Linked DNA regions of Xenopus tropicalis. The protein of the gene in region 2 interacts with the protein of the main gene of each other region in a biochemical or structural test. Links are inferred from orthologs where the notes say so. Each region holds a gene or a part of one and is shown on either strand. Other genes may lie near its edges.

Region 1 (4,052 bases), on a different chromosome or scaffold from region 2:
TGTCACGGCTACTAAAATAGACAATGCTGAACATTTATTGATAACTGTTTCTACGTGTATTTTACCAGAGGCAATTCTCAGTATTGTCTATGGGAGTATATTTTCTGGAGTTTAGTAGCTGCGAAAAAGTAGCTGCTACTAGTAGCTCTGTGTGTCTTCACCCTAAAAGATTGGGGTTTTTCTCTTACCTCTTGCACTCTCATAACTAGCTTAAACCTCCAAAAGCAGCAGTGCCGTGAAGCAAAACAAACCTTTCAGATAAAGTATTTGATCCTCATTTATAACCCAGTCTGTATCTACTGTAGAATCTCTGCCATAAAGCAAAACAAAACTGCTGGTTTTTTTCCCAGGCAGGTTATGGAAACAATAGCCACGGAGAAACACGTCACTGTGCCAAAGTCACAAAAACTTTTTCTTTTGAATATTACATAATTCTGCGTATTGTTTCCAGGTATGTGCCGACACCTTTGAAGCCCTTTAGCATTTAATGAGGCCTTTCATACAGTCGGGCTAATGGTAAAGCCAGTGACTCCATTCTCACAGATCAGAAAGCCAAGGTGCGCTTAGTGTGTCACGTCTAGAACACAAATATTGACACAGGAATGTTTTCCACCACGCTAATGCGAGCACAATACGACCCAACATTTATATATAAGCAACGCGCGCAATAAACCGAATCACATGGGGCTGCTGGGCGAATGAATGCAGGCGTGAATGTGAATATGAACAATATCCAAATGCATTGATTGGCTTCAGAACACTAGTTCTCACTAAAATAACAGGAAAAAAGGTAATTTTATAAATAGCAGGTTTTACTGGAAATATCAGCAATGATAAATCTAAGGGAGATTCCCCAAACGCATTCCACTATATTCCAGCGGAACGACTTCTACGCTACATTATTCATAGAGTGCGCCGAGTGCCTTATTGCCCCCGAGGTGATACATTGTATCCGTGTGTATAAGCAAACACGAGGCTGTTACCAGGATCTAATACAAGGGTACAGGGTAGGAATGTTATTATCCAGTGGCCGGGGGGGCAAATTTAATTCCAATAGCCGACCGGCTAACTGGGCAGAACTTGATGATATACAGGACCTTATCAGCACACAGAGTGCCATGTTCTGCAAATAGTACTCCTGCCCACGGTCAGGGGGGGTTGGAATAGAATGGAAATATAACCTGATAATACCGATAGGGGGACGTCCAACTACAAATCCCATCAGCCACTGAGGCTTCAGGTGTTAGTGGGAGTTATGACAGCTGGAGGGCCACAGGGTCTGACTAGGGTCCCTGAACTCCTTCCTATGTAAACAAAATAGTGCGTGTGTATATCACCATGACAAACACGTACGATATATCTGGTCACGTGGCCGGCTGAAGGCAAGAGGGTGGCTAGTGGAAGAGAAAGTACAAGCACATTGATAGTGACTAGCTGACGGTCTCTAACGTAAACATGTTGTTGGCCAGCAGGCCGCCAGTTAATGAGTGAATGGCCAACTGATAAGGAGTTTGCGGCCTAAAGAAGATGGGTTAGTGGCCAGTTTGTCAAGTGATTATTTAACAACCAGGTGACCAGCTAACAGCTAGGCAGCAAGTAGCCAGGAGGCTATCACTAAGCTAGTAAGAGGCCACTTGATGACTAGTTGCCAGGACACAAATGACAAGCTCATGTAAACAATGTGTGATTAGGTAAGTAATGACTATGTAATAACAACTGCTAATTATATAGTGATAAATTAATACTTATTGACGTGACAAGCCAGATGGTCAGTTGCTGGCCAGCCAAGTAATAAGGTGACCAATGGAACAGCGAGTTAGCAGGTGGCTCTGGCCGATGAAAAGCGACCCAGGGACTAGTGTGCAGTTGGGGGATAGGTAGCCAGAAACTGGCAAAAGGCTAGGAGACCAATTGGTGGCTAGGAGACCAATTGGTGGCTAAGTGACCAGGCAATGGCCACATAGTGACCAGTCAATTGCCACATAGGGCGCAGGTTGCCAACTGAGCAGGTGAAAGAAGTAGCCCAACAGCTAAACAGGTAGCCCAACAGCTAAACACGTAGCCCAACAGCTAAACAGGTAGCCCAGTGACCAGCTAAACAGGTAGCCCAGTGACCAGCTAAACAGGTAGCCCAGTGACCAGCTAAACAGGTAGCCCAGTGACCAGCTAAACAGGTAGCCCAGTGACCAGCTAACCAGGTGACCCCTAGTGGCCCCTCCCCCTTACCTTGTCTGACAGCAGTGATGGGGACAGGCTGCTTGCTGTTCCGGACCAGTTCCAGTACATCGTATCGCGGTAATCCAGAGACGGGCACCCCGGCCACCTCCAGCAGTAACTCCCCCTCGGCCAGCTCGCCATCGCTGCACCTCAGCCCCTCAGCCGCCCCCCCCAGGTACAGGAACTCCCCATCCTCCGCGCCCCCCAGCACCGGCAGCCCCGGCTCCCCCGGCTCCCCCACACAGCTCACAGCGCAGCGGTGCACTCGGCTGCTCCAGTGGTTCTTCTTCTGAATGACTTTGGCCATGCTGAGCCCCCGGCAGCCCCCCGGCTGCACTCACACTGCCGCCCCCCGGTCACATTCAAGCCATCCCAAGGCAAACTTTGTATCCCGGCAGCCCCCGCCTTTATCCTCTCATACTGAGCCCACAAAGTTTCCCTCTGGCCGGGAAGGAGGCAGCCGGGAAGGGGGCAGCGCCGGCCGCTTCCTGCTCTCACTTCCTCACTCTCCGGGAGACACTGATACAAAGTATCCGCTCTCTTCCCATTCCATCCCGGGCAGGGCAGCCTCCGAGCCGAGCCGCGCCGCGCATGCGCAACACTCACCTTCCCTCCCCTCCAGCGCTCAGTAAGAATCCCAACCTGTGGCTCTGGCTGGGCAGGAACTGCAACTCCCAGGATCCCCTTACGGCCAGCTCTGGGCGGAGCAGGAAAGCTACTCATTATAGCGCACCTTAATCTATTTTGGGGGTTGGTAATTTCTTCTGATTGACAAAGAACAGCAAAGAGAAACCTTAACTCTGGGATATGCGGTCCCCAGCCTTCCAGCTACTGAACTACAACTCCCACTTCGGCTTTAAATAGAGCTCAGTCACAGATTATAATTTCCAGACATAGAGCAGCAGCTTGTTGTTTTCTTGTGATTTAAGTTGGACTGGGGCTGTGGGATAGCAGGTATAGTAGGGAGAGATGGTGCCTATAGTAGCAATGGGGGGATAATAGCCTCTGGGAAGGGACTGGGGCTGTGGGATAGCAGGTATAGTAGGGAGAGATGGTGCCTATAGTAGCAGTGGGATAATAGCCTCTGGGAAGGGACTGGGGCTGTGGGATAGCAGGTATAGTAGGGAGAGACGGTGCCTATAGTAGCAGTGGGGGGATAATAGCCTCTGGGAAGGGACTGGGGCTGTGGGATAGCAGGTATAGTAGGGAGAGATGGTGCCTAAAGTAGCAGTGGGGGGATAATAGCCTCTGGGAAGGGACTGGGGCTGTGGGATAGCAGGTATAGTAGGGAGAGATGGTGCCTATAGTAGCAGTGGGGGGATAATAGCCTCTGGGAAGGGACTGGGGCTGTGGGATAGCAGGTATAGTAGGGAGAGATGGTGCCTATAGTAGCAGTGGGGGGATAATAGCCTCTGGGAAGGGACTGGGGGCTGTGGGATAGCAGGTATAGTAGGGAGAGATGGTGCCTATAGTAGCAGTGGGGGGATAATAGCCTCTGGGAAGGGACTGGGGCTGTGGGATAGCAGGTATAGTAGGGAGAGATGGTGCCTATAGTAGCAGTGGGGGGATAATAGCCTCTGGGAAGGGACTGGGGCTGTGGGATAGCAGGTATAGTAGGGAGAGATGGTGCCTATAGTAGCAGTGGGGGGATAATAGCCTCTGGGAAGGGACTGGGGCTGTGGGATAGCAGGTATAGTAGGGAGAGATGGTGCCTATAGTAGCAGTGGGGGGATAATAGCCTCTGGGAAGGGACTGGGGGCTGTGGGATAGCAGGTATAGTAGGGAGAGATGGTGCCTATAGTAGCAGTGGGGGGATAATAGCCTCTGGGAAGGGA
Region 2 (4,292 bases):
TGTATGGTGCAATGAGTGAGTGCTGGTGTGAGTGTATGTATGGTGCAATGAGTGAGTGCTGGTGTAAGTGTATGTATGGTGCAATGAGTGAGTGCTGGTGTAAGTGTATGTATGCTGCAATGAGTGAGTGCTGGTGTGAGTGTATGTATGGTGCAATGAGTGTGTGCTGGTGTGAGTGTATGTGAGGTGCAATGAGTGTGTGCTGGTGTAAGTGTATGTATGGTGCAATGAGTGAGTGCTGGTGTGAGTGTATGTGAGGTGCAATGAGTGAGTGCTGGTGTAAGTGTATGTATGGTGCAATGAGTGAGTGCTGGTGTGAGTGTATGTATGGTGCAATGAGTGAGTGCTGGTGTGAGTGTATGTGAGGTGCAATGAGTGAGTGCTGGTGTGAGTGTATGTATGGTGCAATGAGTGTGTGCTAGTGTGAGTGTATGTATGGTGCAATGAGTGTGTGCTGGTGTGAGTGTATGTATGGTGCAATGAGTGAGTGCTGGTGTGAGTGTATGTATGGTGCAATGAGTGAGTGCTGGTGTGAGTGTATGTATGGTGCAATGAGTGAGTGCTGGTGTGAGTGTATGTATGGTGCAATGAGTGAATGCTGGTGTGAGTGTATGTATGGTGCAATGAGTGAGTGCTGGTTTGAGGGTATGTATGGTGCAATGAGTGAGTGCTGGTGTAAGTGTATGTATGGTGCAATGAGTGAGTGCTGGTGTGAGTGTATGTATGGTGCAATGAGTGAGTGCTGGTGTGAGTATATGTTTGGTGCAATGTGTGTGTGCTGGTGTAAGTGTATGTATGGTGCAATGAGTGAGTGCTGGTGTGATTGTATGTATGGTGCAATGAGTGAGTGCTGGTGTGAGTGTATGTATGGTGCAATGAGTGAGTGCTGGTGTGAGTGTATGTATGGTGCAATTAGTGAGTGCTGGTGTGAGTGTATGTATGGTGCAATGAGTGAATGCTGGTGTGAGTGTATGTATGGTGCAATGAGTGAGTGCTGGTGTGAGGGTATGTATGGTGCAATGAGTGAGTGCTGGTGTAAGTGTATGTATGGTGCAATGAGTGAGTGCTGGTGTGAGTGTATGTATGGTGCAATGAGTGAGTGCTGGTGTGAGTATATGTTTGGTGCAATGTGTGTGTGCTGGTGTAAGTGTATGTATGGTGCAACGAGTGAGTGCTGGTGTGAGTGTATGTATGGTGCAATGAGTGAGTGCTGGTGTGAGTGTATGTATGGTGCAATGAGTGAGTGCTGGTGTGAGTGTATGTATGGTGCAATGAGTGAGTGCTTGTGTGAGGGTATGTATGGTGCAATGAGTGAGTGCAGGTGTGAGTATGTATGGTGCAATGAGTGAGTGCTTGTGTGAGTGTATGTATGGTGCAATGAGTGAGTGCAGGTGTGAGTGTATGTATGGTGCAATGAGTGAGTGCAGGTGTGAGTATGTATGGTGCAATGAGTGAGTGCTGGTGTGAGTGTATGTATGGTGCAATGAGTGAGTGCTTGTGTGAGGGTATGTATGGTGCAATGAGTGAGTGCTGGTGCGATTGTATGTATGGTGCAATGAGTGAGTGCTGGTGTGAGTGTATGTATGGTGCAATGAGTGAGTGCTGGTGTGAGTGTATGTATGGTGCAATTAGTGAGTGCTGGTGTGAGTGTATGTATGGTGCAATGAGTGAATGCTGGTGTGAGTGTATGTATGGTGCAATTAGTGAGTGCTGGTGTGAGTGTATGTATGGTGCAATGAGTGAATGCTGGTGTGAGTGTATGTATGGTGCAATGAGTGAGTGCTGGTGTGAGTGTATGTATGGTGCAATGAGTGAGTGCTGGTGTGAGTGTATGTATGGTGCAATTAGTGAGTGCTGGTGTGAGTATATGTTTGGTGCAATGTGTGTGTGCTGGTGTAAGTGTATGTATGGTGCAATGAGTGAATGCTGGTGTGAGTGTATGTATGGTGCAATGAGTGAGTGCTGGTGTGAGTGTATGTATGGTGCAATGAGTGAATGCTGGTGTGAGTGTATGTATGGTGCAATGAGTGAGTGCTGGTGTGAGTGTATGTATGGTGCAATTAGTGAGTGCTGGTGTAAGTGTATGTATGGTGCAATGAGTGAGTGCTTGTGTGAGTGTATGTATGGTGCAATTAGTGAGTGCTGGTGTGAGTATATGTTTGGTGCAATGTGTGTGTGCTGGTGTAAGTGTATGTATGGTGCAATGAGTGAGTGCTGGTGTGAGTGTATGTATGGTGCAATGAGTGAGTGCAGGTGTGAGTGTATGTATGGTGCAATGAGTGAGTGCTTGTGTGAGTGTATGTATGGTGCAATGAGTGAGTGCAGGTGTGAGTGTATGTATGGTGCAATGAGTGAGTGCTTGTGTGAGGGTATGTATGGTGCAATGAGTGAGTGCTGGTGTAAGTGTATGTATGGTGCAATGAGTGAGTGCTTGTGTGAGTGTATGTATGGTGCAATGAGTGAGTGCTGGTGTGAGTGTATGTATGGTGCAATGAGTGAGTGCTTGTGTGAGTGTATGTATGGTGCAATGAGTGAGTGCTTGTGTGAGTGTATGTATGGTGCAATAAGTGAGTGCTGGTGTGAGTGTATGTATGGTGCAATAAGTGAGTGCTGGTGTGAGTGTATGTATGGTGCAATGAGTGAGTGCTGGTGTGAGGGTATGTTCATATTTACATTACCTGTGGGTGTCAGAGGCGGGGAGACCATGGGTGCCATCTTGGATATCAGTGCCAGGTTGTGCAGCTGGACCAGTGTGGTGCCTGGGTATGATGGAACGCAAGCCCTGAAACGCTGGAAGGGAATGAAATGATGGGGGGAAGTAAAGATGAAAAAAGAGCAAGGGAGGGGTCTGTTACAGAAAAGAATTGCTGGGACAGCTGCTGTTTCTATTTTGTGACTACTGTTTCAGTGCTCCCTTCCTGGTAATAGCGCCAGGGTCAGAAGGGCAGGGAGTCAGGGGAGAGGTATGGGCTGGATTTGGGCTCTACGGGATCAGGATTAGCTGCGCAGCACAAGGAAAGGGCCAAATACACAGAGATATCGGGGGAGAGGAGGAACAGACACAGGTGAGAGAAGTTACTTTTTAGTCACCACTAGCCCTGTCACAGTGAGTAGAGTGTCACAGGGGGTTACAGTGAGTAGTGTGTCACAGGGAGTTACAGTGAGTAGTGTGTCACAGGGAGTTACAGTGAGTAGTGTGTCACAGGGAGTTACAGTGAGTAGTGTGTCACAGGGGGTTACAGTGAGTAGTGTGTCACAGGGGGTTACAGTGAGTAGTGTGTCACAGGGGGTTACAGTGAGTAGTGTGTCACAGGGGGTTACAGTGAGTAGTGTGTCACAGGGAGTTACAGTGAGTAGTGTGTCACAGGGGGTTACAGTGAGTAGTGTGTCACAGGGAGTTACAGTGAGTAGTGTGTCACAGGGGGTTACAGTGAGTAGTGTGTCACAGGGAGTTACAGTGAGTAGTGTGTCACAGGGGGTTACAGTGAGTAGTGTGTCACAGGGGGTTACAGTGAGTAGTGTGTCACAGGGAGTTACAGTGAGTAGTGTGTCACAGGGAGTTACAGTGAGTAGTGTGTCACAGGGAGTTACAGTGAGTAGTGTGTCACAGGGAGTTACAGTGAGTAGTGTGTCACGGGGAGTTACAGTGAGTAGCGTGTCACAGGGAGTTACAGTGAGTAGCGTGTCACGGGGAGTTACAGTGAGTAGCGTGTCACAGGGAGTTACAGTGAGTAGCGCGTCACGGGGAGTTACAGTGAGTAGCGTGTCATAGGGAGTTACAGTGAGTAGTGTGTCACAGGGAGTTACAGTGAGTAGCGTGTCACAGGGAGTTACAGTGAGTAGCGTGTCACGGGGAGTTACAGTGAGTAGCGTGCCACGGGGAGTTACAGTGAGTAGCGTGTCACGGGGAGTTACAGTGAGTAGCGTGTCACGGGGAGTTACAGTGAGTAGCGTGTCATAGGGAGTTACAGTGAGTAGAGTGTCACAGGGAGTTACAGTGAGTAGAGTGTCACAGGGGGTTACAGTGAGTAGAGTGTCACAGGGGGTTACAGTGAGTAGTGTGTCACAGGGAGTTACAGTGAGTAGTGTGTCACAGGGGGTTACAGTGAGTAGTGTGTCACAGGGGGTTACAGTGAGTAGTGTGTCACAGGGAGTTACAGTGAGTAGTGTGTCACAGGCAGTTACAGTGAGTAGTGTGTCACAGGGGGTTACAGTGAGTAGTGTGTCACAGGGGGTTACAGTGAGTAGTGTGTCACAGGGAGTTACAGTGAGTAGTGTGTCACAGGGAGTTA
Region 3 (3,500 bases), on a different chromosome or scaffold from region 2:
ATAAAGATTGTAAGAAATGCTTTTTATTAGTATTGGACAATTTTTGTCCGTTTATCTGTTCACATTTCCTTAATCTCACTATGAATATGAAATAACTTTTTACAACACGCTAGTTTTTATCACGTTATAACTTTGGGTGGGTAACTTATTTTTCCCTATTAATATGTAATAGCTAATGTGTATGAGCATTAAAGTTAATGGTGATATTTATCATCTTAATTTCTAGACATGACATGTGACTTTGTCATGTGTCTTGATAGATTGACTCATATGTGTTTTAAAATTATATTTCACTATGAGTTGTGCCATGTGGCTTATCGCATTGATATATATGGGATATGTCCTATTTTATGCACTATTATGAGTTTAGATGAGTATTGAAGTTAATGGTGATATTTATAAATTAAATTTTTAGTCATGACATGTGACTTTGTCATGTGTCTTGATAGATTGACTCATGTGTTTTAAAATTATATTTCACTATGAGTTGTGCCATGTGGCTTATCGCATTGATATATATGGGATATGTCCTATTTTATGCACTATTATGAGTTTAGATGAGTATTGAAGTTAATGGTGATATTTATAAATTCAATTTTTAGTCATGACATGTGACTTTGTCATGTGTCTTGATAGATTGACTTATATGTGTTTTAAAATTATATTTCACTATGAGCTTTGCCATGTGGCTTACTACATTGATATATATGGGATATGTCCTAGTTTATGTATTAATATGTCTAGATGTTTGATGATAATTTTATTTTTGATCATATGGGGATTTTTTAAGTGCCTGGTATTTGATTACACTTTGCACATGTTATTGAATGGGTTAATGTTGTATAAACACTGATTGGATACTGCGGGTTTTTAACCTGACACTTCACTTCCTGTCTATCATCCTGATGACGATCCTGTACATTTCAGAATATTCAAAGCACCAAGCACGATACCAGCAGGATACCAAAGCTTGAAAGAATCCAAAACTTTCGTATTCGGTGCAACAATACGAATTTGTCGCAAAATTTTATCGCAAAGTACGAAAAAGTCGTGACGGCGACTAAAAATTCGCGCAAGATACAAAAAAGTCGCAACAGTGACGAAATTGTCGCAAAAATAACGATCATTACGAAAAAGCGCATTTGGACGCATTCGGGGCGTTCGTGGATCGATAAATCTCCCCTATTGTTTTAGAGGATAAGGAAAAAAAATGTTGCTATTTTATGAAAGTGGACCTTTAACAAACAGCAGCAAGGAAAAAGGTAGCCATGCAACTCGACTTCAGGTATTAGATTGTATGTTACTAACACAGAGCATAGAAGATAAACACCTGATAATCTAAAATGCTGAATCCAAGACCAAGGCTTCCTTTTTCCAATAGGATATCCTGAATATCGGTTTCCCACATTGCAAGTGGAGATCCCTGTGCATCCTCGATACTTTGACCATCTTCAGTAGATGCTGTGTTTAAATCATCTGTTTCTGAAGAGCCAACGGTTCCACCAAAGTCAATATGCAGCTATAAAAAGAACAAAAACATTACACAATATTATAATACAAAAATCTTTGTAATGCAAATTACCTTCCTACTATCTGGATGTTTGGCTAGACGTCTACTTGGTTAAACGCTATTGTTACTTCACAGCCAAAGCTCACAATTCAAACCCAGAAAATGATTACAATGTGTTTGCCAGATTTGGCAATCTAACATTAAGAAGGTCCATATATTTCCCTTAGTAAAGGTCAGGAGGTTCCACCTACTATCATGATGATTTTATGCTATGTTGTTTCCCATTTCATGACAACCGCACATAGGAGTCATAACCACAATAAGGGTTATAGCATATAGGCAGTTTTTGGCCCATTTAAAAAAAAAAAAAAAAAAAGTATGCAATAATAATCCAGATGGTTATTATTCTAATAATAGAGTTGTTACTTTACTTATTTTTGAATTATTAGACCTTTTTACCCAGACTTAATAGATTATATTTGGATTTACAAAGCTAATAACTGAAAAATAGCAAAAATAACAAAATACTTAAATTGTCATTTAAAAAAAAAATCTGGTCAGTAAAAAAGTTATATAAAACAAGTATCTAAAGATAAAACCTGCATAAGGTTATGAAAAAAAAAAATTAGCAATTTTGCAAAGCAAACCATATCATTTTGATAATTGTACCATATATTTTGTAAAGTTAACAGCTTTTTCATTTTAATTAGCTTTCCATAAGAAATGATTTGCATCAGCTCTGAGGTTTCAAATATTCATATTCAGCAGCAGTTTATAAAGTCTACAATAACAGCCAATAAAATATGGTTAAAATAAATATAAAAATAGTATTATTAAGAAAAAAAGTTTATGAAAATAGCCACATTTTCATTCTCAAACTGTAATAAAGGCATTAATGTTGTATAGGTTTCCTTAATAGCTAATCATAGTACAGTACCATATTCAGGGCCCTTAGCTTTTTCTAAAACATTTTACATTTTAGGATACTTTAAAAATAGATTACCTTTGAATCAGTGTCCAGGCTCTGTGGAATATCCTCTTGCATTTTCCAGAGTGCAGGTAATGGTACAGGAAAATCCTGTTCACAAGGTTTGTATAAAATAGTAAAAAGGAATGTCTGAATTACATAAATGTAATCATACATACAAGGATATTTACCAGTCATTCTAATGCCTCAGATCATGGTTGGCAGTGATGAGGAAACACAGTTTATCCTACTTCTGTTTAGTTGTATGAACATGTTTCACTACTATTCCCAACTTGAAGGAATCTCTGGGCACATAAGTAACTAGCCCAGTGCTCCTCTTGCCACTTATAACCTACCCTAACCTTTCTCCTCCAATTTCATAAATTTAATACAGGTATAGGACCAGTTATCCGGAAACCCATTATCCAGAAAGTTCCGAATTACAGGAAGGCCATATCCCATATACTCAATTTTAAACAAATAATTCTTACTTTTAGAAATTATTTCCTTTTTCTCAGTAATAATATAACAGTACCTTGTACTTGATCCCAACTAAGGGTCCCCACACGGGCCGATTCTAGCTGCCGATATCGCCAAGTGAGCGAATCTTCACGTGTATCGGGACCTTTAGATATAATTAATCCTTATTGGATGCAAAACAATCCTATTGGGTGTATTTGTAATAAATTATTTTTTAGTAGGCTTAAGATATGGAGATCCAAATTACGGAAAGATTCCTTATCTGCAAGACCCCAGGTCCCGAGCATTCTGGATAACAGATCCGATATCTGTATTTAATGTTTATTGTCATTACAAAGAAGTGCCCCTACAGTTAATTGGATTCAGAGGATAATGACATTTTTTACCATTTAAATTTTACTTTGAAAATGCAAATAAGAATAAAAAAAAAACTGATACAAGTATATTCAAAACTCTCCAACTACTTGTCTAGAATTTTCAAATACCAGGAAATTACCAGTTTAAAAGCTTTACAAGACATGATCGAAAAACAGAAAGCAATAT

The links.
Region 1: the proteins of crhr1.2 (region 2) and magi1 form a complex in vitro, tested with the Homo sapiens proteins (2 studies listed by BioGRID and IntAct, with this or other methods). The link is inferred for Xenopus tropicalis from reciprocal best matches to the Homo sapiens genes CRHR1 and MAGI1.
Region 3: the proteins of crhr1.2 (region 2) and mpdz form a complex in vitro, tested with the Homo sapiens proteins (2 studies listed by BioGRID and IntAct, with this or other methods). The link is inferred for Xenopus tropicalis from reciprocal best matches to the Homo sapiens genes CRHR1 and MPDZ.

What each region holds. Positions count from the first base shown.
Region 1 is NC_030680.2:143,759,923-143,763,974, reverse strand, and holds the start of magi1 (membrane-associated guanylate kinase, WW and PDZ domain-containing protein 1), read right to left. Parts: upstream 2,801-4,052; 5' UTR 2,525-2,800; coding exon 2,227-2,524; intron 1-2,226. UniProt on the Homo sapiens protein: Plays a role in coupling actin fibers to cell junctions in endothelial cells, via its interaction with AMOTL2 and CDH5. May regulate acid-induced ASIC3 currents by modulating its expression at the cell surface.
Region 2 is NC_030686.2:16,307,405-16,311,696, reverse strand, and holds the start of crhr1.2 (corticotropin-releasing factor receptor 1), read right to left. Parts: upstream 2,801-4,292; 5' UTR 2,679-2,800; intron 1-2,678.
Region 3 is NC_030677.2:124,798,009-124,801,508, reverse strand, and holds part of mpdz (multiple PDZ domain protein), read right to left. Parts: intron 2,589-3,500; coding exon 2,514-2,588; intron 1,520-2,513; coding exon 1,331-1,519; intron 1-1,330. UniProt on the Homo sapiens protein: Member of the NMDAR signaling complex that may play a role in control of AMPAR potentiation and synaptic plasticity in excitatory synapses. Promotes clustering of HT2RC at the cell surface.